Oryzias latipes: one gene and its partners. The protein of the gene in region 3 binds, or shares a complex with, the protein of the main gene of each other region. Links are inferred from orthologs where the notes say so. Each region holds a gene or a part of one and is shown on either strand. Other genes may lie near its edges.

Region 1 (5,354 bases), on a different chromosome or scaffold from region 3:
AGCAGACCGACTAAACTTTGTTGAACAGGTGAGCTGAATGTTAATTGATAACGTTCCAAATGTCTGGAGGCTCATTTGATTGATTCACAAGTTATTAAAGTTTTATTTATTGATGGTTGGTTTGCAGGATCTCTGCAGCTGTTTGCTTGAATCCTTTCTTCCTCCACCAGAGACCAGATATCTATGTTTGTGTGATGCTTCTGTCTGAGGAGGAGAAGCACTTTTTGCCATTTTCAACGTTGTAATGCTAATATAACAGACTATTTTCATTCATCTTTGTTTTTTAATGATCAAACGGGTCGCTTCATCTGCAGGAGGGGGCGTATGTGACACTGTTTACTTCCGCATTGGTGATCGGATGACAGATTCATGACGTAATGTGACAGATGAACTTCAGGTTATGTGAATGAAAAGGAGAATAAAGGCTGCAGCGATCCTCTACACCCAAACGTGTCTCTGAGCTCCCTATTTTACATATCAAAGTCCGCTTTACTGACACCGAACCCCGGAAAGACGGCTCCACGGAAAATAATCTGATTTTGAGTCGCCAAAAGGCTCAGAATATCTTTGTTTTAAACCTATAATCCGGAAATAAAGCTTCACAAAAGGCTCCACATATTTCATCTTCAAGCTAGGCTCCGATAAACAGACAACTTCTGGGTTTTCTCCTTGTTAATCAATGAACTTTTTCCCGTAAATTTACGAGTTTTTATCTCCTAATAAAATTAGTTTTTTTTGGTGGCCATAAAACTCTGTCGTAAACTCTTAAATACAAAGCCACTAGCTCACTAACATTAGCCATAACACTGAATATTCCTGAAAGACTCAGCTTCACTGCTCTCGCACAACATTTCGACTTTAATCTCGAAACTTTATTTCGACTTTTATCTCGACACGACGAGTTTTTTCTCGAAACTTTGTGTCGAGTTTTTTCTCGTCATGACGAGATTAAAGTCGACATGACGACTTTAATCTCGTCACGTTGGCCAGAATTTTTTTTCCTCACCGTGGCCCTAAAACTCCGTCGTAGTTTTAGTTATGATTATGAAGTTTTTAACCAAAATTCCGTAACAGAAATGTCTTAAAAAGCCATATTTCATGTTTATCTGAAGCCTCCGTTTCCAAAATCTCCTCTAAATGGGCGTGGCCATTGGAGCTGAGCTAAGTAGCTCCGCCCTTGATGCCACCTTTCTGACTAAATCAGTGTCTAGCATGAGTGAAGAGCTGCACAAATGACAGCAAACTGACAGTCTCGATTCAAAAAAGTGAAAACTGACATATTTTTGGTTCCAAATCGCCACTTTTGAACAACATTTACAAAAACCTTGTTTACTAAGATTAGCCACAAAAAAGAACTTTGATAAGTCCATGAAATTGAGTTGCATTGCAGAATTTGAGCGGCACTGGCTGAAATGACTATTCACATGTAATTTTCCAAATACTCAAATTAATCCCAAACTTAATCCATCCTCAGAGGATGAGTTCCTCTGGGGGGGGGGGGGGGGGGGGGGGGGGGGGGGGGGGGGCGATTCGTGCGCCACCTCAGGTCCCGTCTGAACCAAATCGCCCAACAGGAGCCGGGACGGGTTCACCATGGACAGTTTGCCGTAGGGCGCATGGATCCCGATCACTTTGCCAGCTCCGGGGAGCCAGCCTGCTCCGGCCTCCTAAACTTTATATTTTTCTAATTTTCATCAATATAAAAAACAAAAAACAAACAAAAAAAAGGTCCTCCAATTTTATTCTCGTTTTTATTTTTACCCTCATTCATTCGGGACCTTCACTTTAAAGTCAGATGAAAATCAGGTTTTTTTGGGTTTTTGTCATGTACCTGTGGCATTTTTCTTATAGAAGAGAACAAATATAATTTAATAAAAACATTTCATTTTTGCATTTCTGAGTATTTCTCCTTTTAAATGGCGGTCAAACCGAGGCTGGGTCTGAATGAATGAGCTGTTGTGACGTCCCCCTAACGAGTAATCCGCATCAATCTATCAAATTCATGCTGGGTTTAATGTCTAAAGTATTCAGTCGAAACATAATCCTCCATCAGTCCACTCATGTTGCAGCTGATCCTCCGTCCGTCAGGTCTCACAATTTTATTTAGTATAAAACCAACAAAATCTAATTACTTTCATAGGAAAAAAACAATGCTGCCTAACTTTAGTTAATAGTTTGTGGACCTATGAGCCACACAATATTAGCACTCTGATAACAAATATTTGACAAAATAAATATCAAAAGATAAAAGTTCTGCTCGTCTACCGTAAGCACAAATATACCGATAGCAAAATGAGAGGCGTTCTTGGAAAACCTCAAAATAAGAGCAGCAGTCAGGTGGAAACAGAAGAGGAGGAGGTTCTGAAGGGCAGAGAAGTTCCTGTTGGACTCCAACTCGTCGTTTCTGTGCATCACAGTCCGATGAACGAGTGGGACCCAGAGTCCGCTCATCAGTCCGAGCTGAGCCGCTCGCTCCAGCTGCCGCTGGGAGAAATCCGCCTTTTTAGGCTCCTCCCTCTGCCTCGGAGGAGACGGCCCCGTTCCTCCCGCGGGAAGGGACGGGCGTCGGAGGCGCGGCGACCGAGGCGCGACCGGGGAAACTTGGCGACAGCTCAACTCAGCAGTTGATGGAGGCACTGTCGGCTTTGGCCTTCCCCGCAGAGGTGATGATGTTCATAAGGCAGTGTCCGAACTCCTCCAGGATCAGCCGCTCCGCTTCGCTCGTCAGCTGATCCGTCTGCTCGGCTCTTCTGGCCTTGTCCAGCAGACACTCGCACGTCGCCTCCACCACCTCCTTCGTTAGGAACGTGTACGGAAGCCTGCGGGGAACAAGACTATCATGACTCTGAATTTCTGATGTTTGTCGATTATTAATATTGTTTTTTTTTAATGCAAGCTCCTGTTCTTTGTTGCATCATCATCCTGAAAAAAAGATCCTCAAACCCGCTTTTATGCAATTTCCACATTAATCTGCTTTTCAAAATCTGTATTGACAAAGAAATAAACACATTAAAAATATTTTCTTTTAAGCTGTCTTTTTAATTATTTACCATTTATGACAAAGAACTTATTTTTATCCCATAGCTTGTTTTTAGCCGTCTTATATTTGAGCTATTTAGCCTAAAGCTTCGTACTGTAAACACAAATTCATCTTAGCTTAATGAAAACTACTGAACAAGATTAAGATTTAAAAAACATGTTTTTTTTCTTTTCGACTTTATTTCCCCCAAAAAGTTTGACTTTTATATCCACACCACCATTTTCCTTTATTGGGGCATTTTTCCACATTTTTTGTTTTATTTAGCAGAACAATAAAAAACTGTTGATGAAAAAAACAACATATTTTTTTAACTTTATTTAACATTTCACACTTTTTTTCCAGTCGTCTTAAATTGAGATTTTGTGCTATTTTTTTGCATCGCCTTGTTTTCCTGTTTTCTGGGCCGTTTTTCCTAATTTTCTAGATTTTTGTGCTGTCTTGTATTTAGCAGAACAATAAGCATGCAATAAGGGCAACTAACCTTAAATATAGAATTTAACTTAGCTCTTTTTTTAGCTTCGCTGAACATTACACACTTGTTCTTGAACCCACAGTGACATCAGCGTAACAGAAAAATGTCAGAAAAGTTTGTCCACTTGGTTTGCAGTAAATACACACAATCTTATTTTGAAGGAAAAATGGGTTTGGGTTCTTATGAGTTAAATAAAGATTTAATAATAAGTTTAAATATTTCTCATAATCAATTCCCCTCGTTTTGGAATTTTCTAAATTTTTAAGGTTTTCCCTCTACGAATCAAATTTACCCTTAACCCAACCTTTTTTTTTGCTTTTGACATTACATACTCTTTTTCAGCTGTCCTACATTTTTTTGGCAGCCATAACTTTTTGCAGTAATACCCAAAAAAAAGATGATATGAGTCTGATCTGAATAATTTTTCTGTTTAAAGCAAGAAAACAGCATCAGAAGGCCAGAAATGTGTCGATTGCTTATGTATTTGTGAGTCAACAGGAGTCTTAAATGCAGAAAAAAAAGGTTTTGGTGTAACATTTTCAGATAAATAGAGCCCAAAACCATTTTCTTTGTTTATTTCTCATCCGTGTAAAGTTCTCCAGGCGTTTCCGGAGTTTTCCGGCAGCGGTTCTCACCTCCCGCTTCCGCTGGAAATGACCGGAGTGGTCCTCATGAGCAGGTCTGAGATCTGCGAGGACAGCTTGGTCTTTGCTGCCGTCTGCTGCTGAACCCTCACTTCTGCTGCGTCCGCCAGGTGCATCAGCGTCTTCCTCTCCGGGCTTTCCTCAAAGTTTTTGCACCCGATGCATTTGCATATGGATGAGCACATGATCTTTGCCTTGGAAGAAAGAAATGTAAACACGATTAATGCTTCAGCAGTTTTTTTTTGTATGTCCCTGCTGCCCTGGTCAAAGCTTCACGGCACAAATTCGTAATAAATAAAGAAAAAGAAAATCTTAAAATGGCAACTTTTCAATTAGTTTATCTCCATAGCAACCATTTACTTTCTTGGTTGCCTGGGGGTGACGAACAGGTTCATGTAATTTTTAGAAGAATCGGCAAAAGTACATTTGTGGATTTCCTTAGCAACAGAGGTTTCTTATTAACCACACCCACATTCTCATGTATTAAAATCACGTTATATCGTTTTTTTTAGCTTGAGTCATTTATTACGCTTTCACAAGTACCAAAAATGCCAAAAATTCATTTTCACTGGGTACAAGATGCGTTCGAATTTAGTGAAGTTTTTGCGTCTGTGGCGCTTAAATGCGAAGAATAAAAAAAACAAAACAATCTGGTCCTCGTCTTCCGGACGGCTGCGGAAGAGAATATAGCAGGAAAGACTTAGCAGAGATGGTGAAAGGGGGAGCAAACGCACCTCGTAGCACTCGCAGTAGTTCTTCAGGCAGCCCGACCGCTTGCAGTTGCAGCCTTTGCTGTGGCGGCGGTCGGACTCGCCCTCCTTCCCTTTACCGATTTTGGGTTTGAAGGCCTCTGGATTTCGGTCCAGACACGTCTGCAGAGACACATTTTCCATCAGGAGAAGCGGGGACTGGAAAGCGCACAAAGCGACCGCCAAACCCCACCTTGATGGCTTTGAGGCGCTCCGTCTCGTGCTCCAGGTTGTTGAAGCAGTTGTTGCAGTTGCACATGTTGCAGAACTCTCCGTTTGCAAAGCAGTCGCAGTACCTAAGAGACGGGAAGGACCTCGTTTTAGTCAGGATACCGGGCCAAGAGTTTGATTTTATTTGATCATAATCAGTCAAACTTTATCGCAGATTACAATCAGGGGAAACCTCCAGGCTCCACACAGTTCTTCCAAACCCGGTGAAAAGATTTTGT
Region 2 (6,077 bases), on a different chromosome or scaffold from region 3:
CACGTTAACCCCGCTTTAACAGGCCTGCAGTCGCTGCATCGTTCCAGGTGTGATGCTTTCACACCTCCGGGCTCCGCAGACGTCTGAAGTCGCTGCGCAGCCTCTGCTGTGCCAGCCGGCACGGATGGTCGGCCCATTCACACATTCCCTCGGTACCACCTTTGATCGCGGCTGGGATATAACCCCCAGAGAGCCCACGGGTCACAGTCAGCGGCTGCAGCTCCAGAGGCAGGAGGACAATGTCTGCGGTTGGTGGGAAAATGCGCGTCCGGGACCTGAACCACTTTCAGATGCTTCACGACGGGCCTCCGCACATGAGCCGCGTGGTGAGCTCAGGTGAGTGACCAACCGATCTGAACTGTTCCAACTCCTCCAATACTTGCTTTTTCAAATAATAGGTTTTATACAAAGATCCAGTTTTTGCGCTTCTCGCTGTGCGTCATTTACGCACCAAGTTCGCTTCCCGAAGTTAAACTCTCTCCGATTCTCTTGAAATCACAGAATTCGGATCCTCGGATGTTACGAACTACTTTACCCCCACAAACTCTGCACCAAGGGAGGAGAAATGCATGACCATTCTAACGCACAGGAGAAAGAGGACCAACTTCACCCAGCAGCAAATACAAGTGCTGGAAAAAGTTTATTCTGACACAAAATATCCTGACATCTACCTCCGAGAGCGCCTGGAGGCTCTGACTGGACTGCCAGAGTCCAGGATTCAGGTAAGGATGTGCTTAACTGGGATTTTGTTAGTCAAACATATAGTTACAACCAGGAAAGTTTAAAAAATAATCTCTAAATGTCCCATTTGTATTTATTATTTTAGGTTTGGTTTCAGAACAGAAGGGCCAAGTCTCGTAGGCAGGTGGGATCCTCAGTCTCCAAGGTCTCAAACACCCCAGGAGGTGTCACCTTCAGCCAAATCCAGAGCAGAATGTCCTCTCAAAAAGGTAATTTCATCCTTCTGTCCTGGATATATTTTCCTTTCTGATTTAATAAGACAGAGGAATAAAAAGCACACCTTTTTTGAAAATGTTTCCTACTGTTTTTCAGCTTATGAGCACAACTCTGAGATGCAAAGGATGGGAGCTTTTAAAGCACATGATAGTTTTATGCCGCTTATTCAACAAAGCGCTGTGGATCCTCACATGACCAGACTTCCAGGGAATTCCAGCAATTACACTCAGAAATCTTCATCATGCCTTTATGACATCAAGGGACCCAGAGGCCCGGCTGGCCAAGTGCAGCAACACAAACCCACCATCCCCACCCCAAGCTTCCATCTCTATCCCACCCAGAACGAGCATCAAGTCAAGACTGAAGCCAACAAGCCTGATAACCAGGCTCCAAAAGTCTTAGTGGAGTACGACAACTTCCCACCTAATAAAACTATCGGGCCGGAGATGAAAATTGTGATACCTCCGATCCCCAGCAGTTTCACAAGGTCGTCTCCAAATGATAGCGTGTGTCAGATGCAGTATCCACAAATGAGACTTACAGGTGGAGGACTCGGCCACTTCTCTCCCATTCAAAACATGGAAGCACAGAACATTTCCGACACGGATTCTGACTGGGAACAGGAAACGATGGCCGGCTTCAGTGGCTTCTGCGATCTTTAAGGAGCCTCCAAGATCCACGGGAGTCTGTATTTATTGTAAAACGTAATAATATTCATGACTGTATTTGTATTTTCCGAGTTGTGTATAAAATAAAAGAAAAAAAAAGACTTTTGCACCATTATGTTTAATAAAAAAGGAGGGAAACATTTACAGTTGCCCTGAGGCATTTTCATATACAACTGTACAATACTGAAAAAAGGGGTTCCCTAAGAAGAAAAAAAAAATTAACTTGAGATTTTTGGGGTCTGGGGGGTGATGGGGATGCAGGCTTTAGGTCGAGGGGATCAGCAGCCATGCCAGATGTGGTAATGCTAACATCTTAAGAGTAAAAGGCATCAAAAACCCAGAGATCTCGTTTACAAAAATACCAAAATCTCTTTAGTGCACACAAAATTACAAAAAGCCTTTTCTGAATATGAGGCAGAAATGTTAATATTCTATTAATTAGAGATATTGTACAGTTATCTACAACAATAAACTTTTCATTAAACATTCTTTTGCTTCCCAACACAACAGAAGTTTCATAGGAAGAAACAGTTTTTTTATCAACATACACAACTACACAAAAATAAATAAATATCAACAATAAAAACTGTTGGAATCAATGCTTGGCACGTTGGAGGTGTTGTCTTTAGCGTCAGGAGCTCAAACATTTCCCATAAAACAAAACGGATGGGTAAAAACGAGAACATCGTTGCTCCGGTGAGATCAAATCCCGTTTAGATGGAAGCACCGACCGTGAGGTGGCACGCCTCCATGCGCGTGCAGGAGAAAATGCTGGTGCTTAGACTGCATTGGTGTTGTTTGCAGCGAATGCGTGGAGATTTCCCAGTTGACTCAAACCACTCTGAATGTGAGCAACGTGGATTTCTACGTTGTTCTGAAAGCAACTGGAAATGAGGGAGACTGTAAGTAAAGACATGTAAGGAGTTCAAAAATAGAGGAGGGTTGATCTACCTGAGGTTGGAAGGATCGACTGAAGCTTTGATGTCATTCAGGGAGTCTGTCAGGGATTTAAACTCAAATGAGTTCAGATCCCCTTCATCTGCCAGACACTGAAACGAAGCAGGAGGTCAGATAAGCAGCTAATCAACTTATGAATAACACATGAGTTGCCTCTCCGGCTGAAGACTATCAGCTTCCTTCAGCTGCAGAACTTGTGAAATGCTCTCCACCTTTATCTGTAAGAGCAGAGCAGTGAGGCGGGAGATGAGGCTCGTGAGGCCGGGGTTTGTGATGATGTGCTGTCCGTCCCACTGCGGGTTGTACATCTGCACCATCTGCTGGGCTTGCTCTTCACAACGCCGCCGCAGCTCTGTGGGATGGTCAGCTGGAACCATGCCCTGATCCGGAGAAAGCTGGACAAAGATTTAAGGTGAATACACTGCAGCATCAGTCTTCCCAAACACTCAGGAAGAGCACCTTTTGTGTTCCCAACATTATTTAAAATCCTGTCACGTACAGAAATCCAGACGTGGAGACCTAGTTTTTGCTAAAGCAACTTTACAACAGACAGCTTTGTGATAAAAATCCAACATGAAACAATATTTGTGACAAATCGATTTCTCAAATCAGGGAGGTTTTTAATTAGCCTGGAGTTTGCTAATAAATCTCAATTTCAGCTTTAACTCTGAAACTACAAAGAATGGATCAGTGCACTTAACATCAAACATCAGGATGTGAAAACATTTCTGCTGTTCAAATTATTTGTTAAGCCGCTGTGATGTGTTGCAGTGCGACAATATGCAATTAACAACAATTATTACCTGCATAACATCTTTAATACACAAAAAAAAGTTTTAAAACATCAATTTCTCCATTGCGGGATCCATAATCTACTCTATTCTATTCAGGTTATCGGTGAACTTCCAATGTCTTAGGTCCTCGTTTTATTCTGCACATCAGTAAAAGCCTCACTGTTGCTAAAACTGACTGATCTAATAGACTTTAGACTATAAATCAGTCACATTCTGTTACTCAGTCCTTTAAATGCATTTCATTTCTAACTTAATAAAACTTATTTTTCTCTCCTATTCCAGTATAATGTTGGGATACTCCAAACTCCAAACCAGTAGAATTCAACAGACGAAGGCTCAGTCGGAAAAGATCAGTTTGAATGTTTAAGATAGGCTTGCCTACAAAACCGTACGTCCCCTTTAACTGGTCAAAACGTATGAAAAAAGTACTTTATGTACCTGAGAGACCTTCAAACAGTCAGACTTGACAGGATGAACTTACATCGCAACAGAACTGCTGCACTTCATGAAATACTTTGTTCAGATCTTTGTTAAGCTGGTCCAGCTCAAGCACAGTGATGGCATATCGCTTTTGAAAGTCCAGGTCGATGGGCATCGAGTACGACTTCTGAATACAAGAAGCAGGAATGTTATTTAGTCTTTCTTTAAACCTATTTGAGAATTGAAAGCGTTTTCAGTCATTCTGTGAATAGCATACCAGCCTTTCTGCCTCCGTGTTCATTTCTTTTAAATGCTTGATGTGCTCTTTCTTTATCATCAGGATTTTGGACAATCTGGTCTGGAAACAAAAACAAACAAACAAAAGTCATTTAGAGTGCGTGTCCAGTTCCACATTTAAAAAAAGAATATTGCAAATTTCTTTTACAAAAAAAAGGCTTACAACTTGAACCAAGAATTTTACAGGAAATCCTCCGAGTGTTTCTCCCTCAGAACACGACAGTTTGTTCCTCCAAGGCGATTGGCTCATAAGAGGATCATTGTCCTGGGAGAAAATACATACATGTAGAGAAATGAGGCAGATTTCACAAGCGATTGACATGAAAAACCAACAAAATTAAGATTTGCATGTAACATGTTAAAGAAAACATTCAGGTACCAAGTTATAAAAGAGAACTGTAAAAAGATTTCACCATCACTGAGTTTAATTTTATCTATAGGCTTCATAAATTGAACAAAACGATTCTGAAGGCACATTTCAGGCAGCAGACAGAAATGTTTACAGTTCGCATGTAAATATGAAATGGCAGCCCATTATTGTTGGATTAGACTGATGTTACGGTTACCATGTGGACAGGTGTCGTGACGGACGGATACGTCGCTCTGGGCGGAGTCATGACGTTCTGCATGTACCGCGCTGACCGGTGTTTCTGAGCGAAAGCCGAGATGGGCATGGTTTCATTGGGTTCGTTGCTCTGGAAAAACAAATCGTTAGATTAGGAAAACGAGCTTCAGAGTTCCTGCTGCCGGTTGTTTTGGTGAAACCATTTATTTACACATTTACCAAAACTTCGTAATCAGGCACGGTGTGAGTTCCCAGGCCAGTGCGGTCGAAGGTGACACGATAGGTGGCCGCGCTTGTGTCGACTGCATCAATCTGCCCCGTGAACAAGCCATCGTGGTTGCCTCGGAGTCGAGCTGGAAAAAGTGAGCAGGATTAGCGTTCCAACAACACATCATCAGTATGACGGTCTAATCCCAGCTCACATTCAACATACAACATCCTACATACAAACTAAAGTTTCAAAAAGAAATTAAATCATAAATAAATCTAAATATAAATTAGAATACAACAGTAGATATTTGTTATAATGCTTCTTAATACTAACATATTTCACCTACTGTATAGAAATGTGGTGTAATAATTATAAGAGTTCACTACATCCTCTCTTTTTACTTCAAAAACGAGCCATCAGTATTGTACATAAAGCCGGCTATGTATCTATCATACAAACAATTTATTTGATCAATCTAGACTTGCACTAAACTTTGGAATGAGCTCAAACAATGTTCAAATATCCAAATATTCCAGAAAATCTATAAAGAAACTCTGATTTCAGGATATAAAGATAAGAGGAGTTAAGGATCAACAGGTGTTTGAATAATTACAAATACATTTGTGAACTTGATTGTGGTGAAATAATCAAAGCTCTTTTAATTACAACCAATGGGTATTAAATAGTAATGTGCAATAATGATTACTAAAATGTTTTAAATTACAGTCAATAAGTTATAGATTTTCTTTACTTGATCTGCAACGTGTAGCAATAATTACTGGTTTATTGTGATCATGTGTTCTAATGATAATCAATGATTACATATTGATTACCTAAAGTGTAAATCATTACTGTTTACTGAAAAGATGTAGTTCTTTCTGAGGATAATCAATAAGCACTCGATTTTGTAAATAACTTGATCTGCAATGTGTAGCAATGATATCTGGATTTATTAAAATTGTGTTCTGGTTATAATCAATGAGTATTACATTGGTTACATGGTGCGTGATTCACATTACTGTTTACTAAAATCATAAATGAATGTTTTCTGCAGATAATCATCAATAAGCACTTGATTATATTACTTGAAAAGAATCTATCGGATCATAACCGGATTACGAAAAACTATGTAAAACGAAAAATGAAATAACTCCGAAGGGGTGGGATTATATATACTTGCTTCTTCCCACTCCTTTATAAGCAATAAA
Region 3 (5,915 bases):
ATATTTTTAAATGTAATTTCCAAAGAGCCATACAATAATGTAGTGTCCCTTTCCCACACTGAGGCACGGAGACTTAACCTCTTTTAAGGTTCTTTATTCTGGTGACTGCAGACCACAACAAACGCCGTACAATTAATTCAGCAACTCCTGAATCTCTCCCGCTGAAACGAGAGCGCTTCTCCCAACTTTATATTCCCCCCTCCCGCTCCAGCCCTCCCATTTCCCTTATTCGGCCCATAGCTGAACCCCATTGGTCCAAATTACCTAACAACAGGCTGAGCGACAGAACTGAGAGCCAATCAGATCTCTGCTTGATGCATTCAATGAACTCCAGAACTTTTAACGCGACCCAACAGCCACCCAGTCCAAGTCAGTAAGCAACGATATATTTAAAACTAAATATACAAGTGAATGTGTGCATTTGATGTAATTTCAACATTTTTAAAGTACAATAAGTCTGTGGATTCTTTTTAATAACATTGTTATTCTGTTGCTAATAAATGATGAGTATTTCTCGTGGTAGTTTTGCTGATGGTTTAGTCTGGTTGATACGTGGTGAGTTTCTGCTTCATGCAGGCGTTGAGACTTTAAACGTGATCGTAGGTCTGAATGTTCTGTAGATGTGAGACAGACATGGAACCAAACACACACTCACACGCTGCAGTGAGTGACGGGAAGCGGGTTTTACGTTTTTACAATCCCTGCGCGATTCACCTGCTGCCTGTCCCCACAACACCCCCCCCCCCCCACCCTCTGCTTTCTTCCTCACACATCCCGTCCCCGCAACTGCGCGCTCTTTCTCAGAGACGGGAGCGCGCACTTTTAGGCACGGCAATTCACAGGTTTCCAGTTGGTACAAACTCTGTGAAATTATAGATAATTGTAAACTTATAGCGCTGGCGCAGATTTTTCTCTCCAAGCACCGCTACTACTGCGCGCCTCTGGCATCGCATCGCGCCCGAGAAGAACTGGACTAATGATTAAAAAAAAGTATAATTAAAGATTTGTCTGCGAGCCACATGTGACCATCAAAAGAGCCATATATGGCTCGCGAGCCATAGGTTCCCGACCCCTGGTCTACACTAAAAACTGTTCGAACTCAAAGCGGCTCAGAAGGTTCCTCACAGAAAGTCTCAGATGGAAAGTCTGGACGGGATGGAAAAGAGCAGAAAGGAAAGATCTACTGACAGGAGCAGCAGCTCCAGCAGAGCGTCTCTCCTGAAACGGAAGCTTGCAGAGATGGACGTTGCCTGCTCTGAAGCTGTTGAAGCTTTTGAATCTCTGAAGCCTTGAAGCTCTGAAGCTGTTGAAGCGTCTGTCTTTGGTGTTTTGGTTTATGGAGTTTTCTTTGCATTCGTTCTGCAGGTTGGCGGTGAGTCCTCCTGGAGGCCCCGCCCCCTCCAGGCAGAGGTCACAGCTGCCTGGGGCTGTTTGGGTGTCTCTGCCGTCTTTATTTCCCTTCCAGTTTGTTTTGGACTCTTTACCTCTTGTGGTGATTTTTGGTCATAATGTTTGAACAAATGTCTACCTTTAAGGTTTTTTTTTATTTTCAGAACATTCTGGCCTTAAAAGGCAAAACCTGATATTTATCTGCATATTAAAGAATTCCACAGAAATAATAAAACATACATTTTATTTTTTTCAAACTGAACACGATTGTAGTTTGCAGAGAAACAGCTTCTTTTCCATAATTGAAACAGATTTTCTGTATTTCTGTTTTCTCAGGACAAAACAGAAAGACTTCAAAAAATGTTCAGTTTCTGACAGAATTTTGTTCCATGTATGAAAAACAGGTGTCATCAAATCTTAAACTGAATAAAACCAGGTGTGTAGATGCTACACACACACACACAGGCACACACGCACACACACGCACACACACACACACCTCTGCAGTGATTTTCTTCACTACATTTACAACAAAATGGTTAAAGTCACAAACAAACAGAGAAAAGGTTAAAATAAAATTACTTTTAAACTGACTTTTTACAAAAACAGTGAGGAAGACCATCAGAGGAAGATATTCACAGGTTCAGACGTTGTTTTAAGACCTAAAAATGTTTTAAAATTGAGTTTTTTTGTTTTCTTGTCACCAGTTTATGAAGGAATCAAATACTCATCAGTAAAACTTCCACCGGTCTGCTGTTGTCATGGCAACCTGTGCTTCACTTCAGTAAATGCAAAGGGGGAGATCTAAATGAGTGATCAAAGAAATGAAAAGCCGCAGGTAATCTAACCTGCAGGAGCATCTTTCCTCTGAAAAGTGAGAATATTGGGTTAAAAACTGACAGATGTGGTGAAGGACGGTTTCTCCTCGACGACGACCTACAATCTACACCACAAAGAGCGACACGTGGCGCTTCAGTCCGACCATCTTCCAACTGCACTAGAACAAGACGAGCGACGGCCCCCAACGCTGTGAGCGGGAGCGCCCCCTGGTGACAGCTTCAGCTCATGAGTCTTTCCTGCAGACCAATCAGGCCACTGAAGGACAGAAACCTCCACGGATGTCTTCTGCCGACTCTGCTCCTCCCGTCAGGACTTCAGTGGCTCTGCCTCTCCGACACCACGTCCTGCAGACGTTTCAGCAGCACGTCCGGGCTGCCGCCGTTCTCCGGACACGCCCTCTTACTTGGCGAGTCGCACGCGGACGCCATGGTCACGTCCCCCTCCATGGTGAAGGCCCTCTTCCTGCTGGCAGAGCCCTGCCGGATCATCCTGTTGATGTCTGACAGATCCTGCAGAAGAGAAGAACTTTTCAAGTCCGTCATCCATCAGAGTCTTCTGCTCGCCGTGTCTGTCACGGGTCGTGTGTGTGTTCATCAGTGTGTGTGTGTGTGTGTTCATCAGTGTGTGTGTGTGTGTGTTCATCAGTGTGTGTGTGTGTGTGTTCATCAGTGTGTGTGTGTGTGTTCATCAGTGTGTGTGTGTGTGTTCATCAGTGTGTGTGTGTGTTCATCAGTGTGTGTGTGTGTGTGTTCATCAGTGTGTGTGTGTGTGTGTTCATCAGTGTGTGTGTGTTCATCAGTGTGTGTGTGTTCATCAGTGTTTGTGTGTTCATCAGTGTTTGTGTGTTCATCAGTGTGTGTGTTCATCAGTGTGTGTGTGTTCATCAGTGTGTGTGTGTTCATCAGTGTGTGTGTTCATCAGTGTGTGTGTACATCAGTGTGTGTGTGTGTGTTCATCAGTGTGTGTGTGTGTGTGTTCATCAGTGTGTGTGTGTGTTCATCAGTGTGTGTGTGTGTGTTCATCAGTGTGTGTGTGTGTTCATCAGTGTTTGTGTGTTCATCAGTGTGTGTGTGTGTGTTCATCAGTGTGTGTGTGTGTGTGTTCATCAGTGTGTGTGTGTTCATCAGTGTTTGTGTGTTCATCAGTGTTTGTGTGTTCATCAGTGTGTGTGTTCATCAGTGTGTGTGTTCATCAGTGTGTGTGTGTTCATCAGTGTGTGTGTGTTCATCAGTGTGTGTGTGTTCATCAGTGTGTGTGTACATCAGTGTGTGTGTGTGTGTTCATCAGTGTGTGTGTGTTCATCAGTGAGTGTGTGTGTGTTCATCAGTGAGTGTGTGTTTGTGTGTGTGTTCATCAGTGTTTGTGTGTTCATCAGTGTGTGTGTGTTCATCAGTGTGTGTGTGTGTGTTCATCAGTATGTGTGTGTGTGTTCATCAGTGTGTGTGTGTTCATCAGTGTGTGTGTGTGTTCATCAGTGAGTGTGTGTGTGTGTGTTCATCAGTGTTTGTGTGTTCATCAGTGTGTGTGTGTTCATCAGTGTGTGTGTACATCAGTGTGTGTGTGTGTGTTCATCAGTGTGTGTGTGTTCATCAGTGAGTGTGTGTGTTCATCAGTGAGTGTGTGTGTGTTCATCAGTGTGTGTGTGTGTGTTCATCAGTGTGTGTGTGTTCATCAGTGTGTGTGTGTGTGTTCATCAGTGAGTGTGTGTGTGTGTGTTCATCAGTGTGTGTGTCTTCATCAGTGTGTGTGTACATCAGTGTGTGTGTGTGTGTGTTCATCAGTGTGTGTGTACATCAGTGTGTGTGTGTGTGTTCATCAGTGTGTGTGTGTTCATCAGTGAGTGTGTGTGTGTTCATCAGTTTGTGTGTGTTTGTGTGTGTGTTCATCAGTGTGTGTGTGTTCATCAGTGTGTGTGTGTGTGTGTGTGTGTGTGTGTGTTCATCAGTATGTGTGTGTGTGTTCATCAGTGTGTGTGTGTTCATCAGTGTGTGTGTGTGTGTTCATCAGTGAGTGTGTGTGTGTGTGTTCATCAGTGTTTGTGTGTTCATCAGTGTGTGTGTGTTCATCAGTGTGTGTGTACATCAGTGTGTGTGTGTTCATCAGTGTGTGTGTGTGTGTTCATCAGTGAGTGTGTGTGTGTTCATCAGTGAGTGTGTGTTTGTGTGTGTGTTCATCAGTGTTTGTGTGTTCATCAGTGTGTGTGTGTGTGTTCATCAGTGTGTGTGTGTGTGTTCATCAGTGTGTGTGTGTTCATCAGTGTGTGTGTTCATCAGTGTTTGTGTGTTCATCAGTGTGTGTGTGTGTGTGTTCATCAGTGTGTGTGTGTGTGTGTTCATCAGTGTGTGTGTGTGTTCATCAGTGTGTGTGTGTGTGTGTTCATCAGTGTGTGTGTTCATCAGTGTGTGTGTGTTCATCAGTGTGTGTGTGTTCTTATCAGTGTGTGTTCATCAGTGTGTGTGTGTGTTCATCAGTGTTTGTGTGTACATCAGTGTGTGTGTGTTCATCAGTGTTTGTGTGTTCATCAGTGTGTGTGTGTGTTCATCAGTGTGTGTGTGTTCATCAGTGTGTGTGTGTGTTCATCAGTGTTTGTGTGTGTTCATCAGTGTGTGTGTGTGTGTGTTCATCAGTGTGTGTGTGTTCATCAGTGTGTGTGTGTTCATCAGTGTGTGTGTGTGTGTTCATCAGTGTGTGTGTGTGTGTTCATCAGTGTGTGTGTGTGTGTTCATCAGTGAGTGTGTGTGTGTGTGTTCATCAGTGTGTGTGTGTTCATCAGTGTGTGTGTGTTCATCAGTGTGTGTGTGTTCATCAGTGTGTGTGTGTTCATCAGTGTGTGTGTACATCAGTGTGTGTGTGTGTGTTCATCAGTGTGTGTGTGTTCATCAGTGAGTGTGTGTGTGTTCATCAGTGAGTGTGTGTTTGTGTGTGTGTTCATCAGTGTTTGTGTGTTCATCAGTGTGTGTGTGTGTGTTCATCAGTATGTGTGTGTGTGTTCATCAGTGTGTGTGTGTTCATCAGTGTGTGTGTGTGTTCATCAGTGAGTGTGTGTGTGTGTGTTCATCAGTGTTTGTGTGTTCATCAGTGTGTGTGTGTTCATCAGTGTGTGTGTACATCAGTGTGTGTGTGTGTGTTCATCAGTGTGTGTGTGTTCATCAGTGAGTGTGTGTGTTCATCAGTGAGTGTGTGTGTGTTCATCAGTGTGTGTGTGTGTGTTCATCAGTGTGTGTGTGTTCATCAGTGTGTGTGTGTGTGTTCATCAGTGAGTGTGTGTGTGTGTGTTCATCAGTGTGTGTGTCTTCATCAGTGTTTGTGTACATCAGTGTGTGTGTGTGTGTTCATCAGTGTGTGTGTACATCAGTGTGTGTGTGTGTGTTCATCAGTGTGTGTGTGTTCATCAGTGAGTGTGTGTGTGTTCATCAGTTTGTGTGTGTTTGTGTGTGTGTTCATCAGTGTGTGTGTGTTCATCAGTGTGTGTGTGGGTGTGTGTGTGTGTGTTCATCAGTATGTGTGTGTGTGTTCATCAGTGTGTGTGTGTTCATCAGTGTGTGTGTGTGTGTTCATCAGTGAGTGTGTGTGTGTGTGTTCATCAGTGTTTGTGTGTTCATCAGTGTGTGTGTGTTCATCAGTGTGTGTGTACATCAGTGTGTGTGTGTTCATCAGTGAGTGTGTGTGTGTTCATCAGTGAGTGT

Evidence for each region. Proteins that work in one complex are often made in the same cells at the same time.
Region 1: rbl1 (region 3) and lin54 share a complex: the UniProt entries of both Homo sapiens proteins name them as parts of the DREAM complex. The link is inferred for Oryzias latipes from reciprocal best matches to the Homo sapiens genes RBL1 and LIN54.
Region 2: rbl1 (region 3) and lin9 share a complex: the UniProt entries of both Homo sapiens proteins name them as parts of the DREAM complex. The link is inferred for Oryzias latipes from reciprocal best matches to the Homo sapiens genes RBL1 and LIN9.

The regions. Positions count from the first base shown.
Region 1 is NC_019870.2:2,869,819-2,875,172, forward strand, and holds the end of lin54 (protein lin-54 homolog), read right to left. Parts: intron 5,202-5,354; coding exon 5,099-5,201; intron 5,029-5,098; coding exon 4,891-5,028; intron 4,351-4,890; coding exon 4,148-4,350; intron 2,820-4,147; coding exon 2,618-2,819; 3' UTR 1,725-2,617; downstream 1-1,724. UniProt on the Homo sapiens protein: Component of the DREAM complex, a multiprotein complex that can both act as a transcription activator or repressor depending on the context. In G0 phase, the complex binds to more than 800 promoters and is required for repression of E2F target genes.
Region 2 is NC_019882.2:7,722,159-7,728,235, reverse strand, and holds the end of lin9 (protein lin-9 homolog), read right to left. Parts: intron 5,012-6,077; coding exon 4,878-5,011; intron 4,789-4,877; coding exon 4,660-4,788; intron 4,359-4,659; coding exon 4,257-4,358; intron 4,155-4,256; coding exon 4,074-4,154; intron 3,984-4,073; coding exon 3,858-3,983; intron 2,978-3,857; coding exon 2,795-2,977; intron 2,675-2,794; coding exon 2,577-2,674; intron 2,510-2,576; coding exon 2,404-2,509; 3' UTR 1,725-2,403; downstream 1-1,724. Other genes in the region: homeobox protein MIXL1, read left to right, coding at 240-336, 502-722, 827-950, 1,054-1,619. UniProt on the Homo sapiens protein: Acts as a tumor suppressor. Inhibits DNA synthesis. Its ability to inhibit oncogenic transformation is mediated through its association with RB1. Plays a role in the expression of genes required for the G1/S transition.
Region 3 is NC_019863.2:32,772,718-32,778,632, forward strand, and holds the end of rbl1 (retinoblastoma-like protein 1), read right to left. Parts: intron 2,739-5,915; coding exon 2,544-2,738; 3' UTR 1,617-2,543; downstream 1-1,616. UniProt on the Homo sapiens protein: Key regulator of entry into cell division. Directly involved in heterochromatin formation by maintaining overall chromatin structure and, in particular, that of constitutive heterochromatin by stabilizing histone methylation.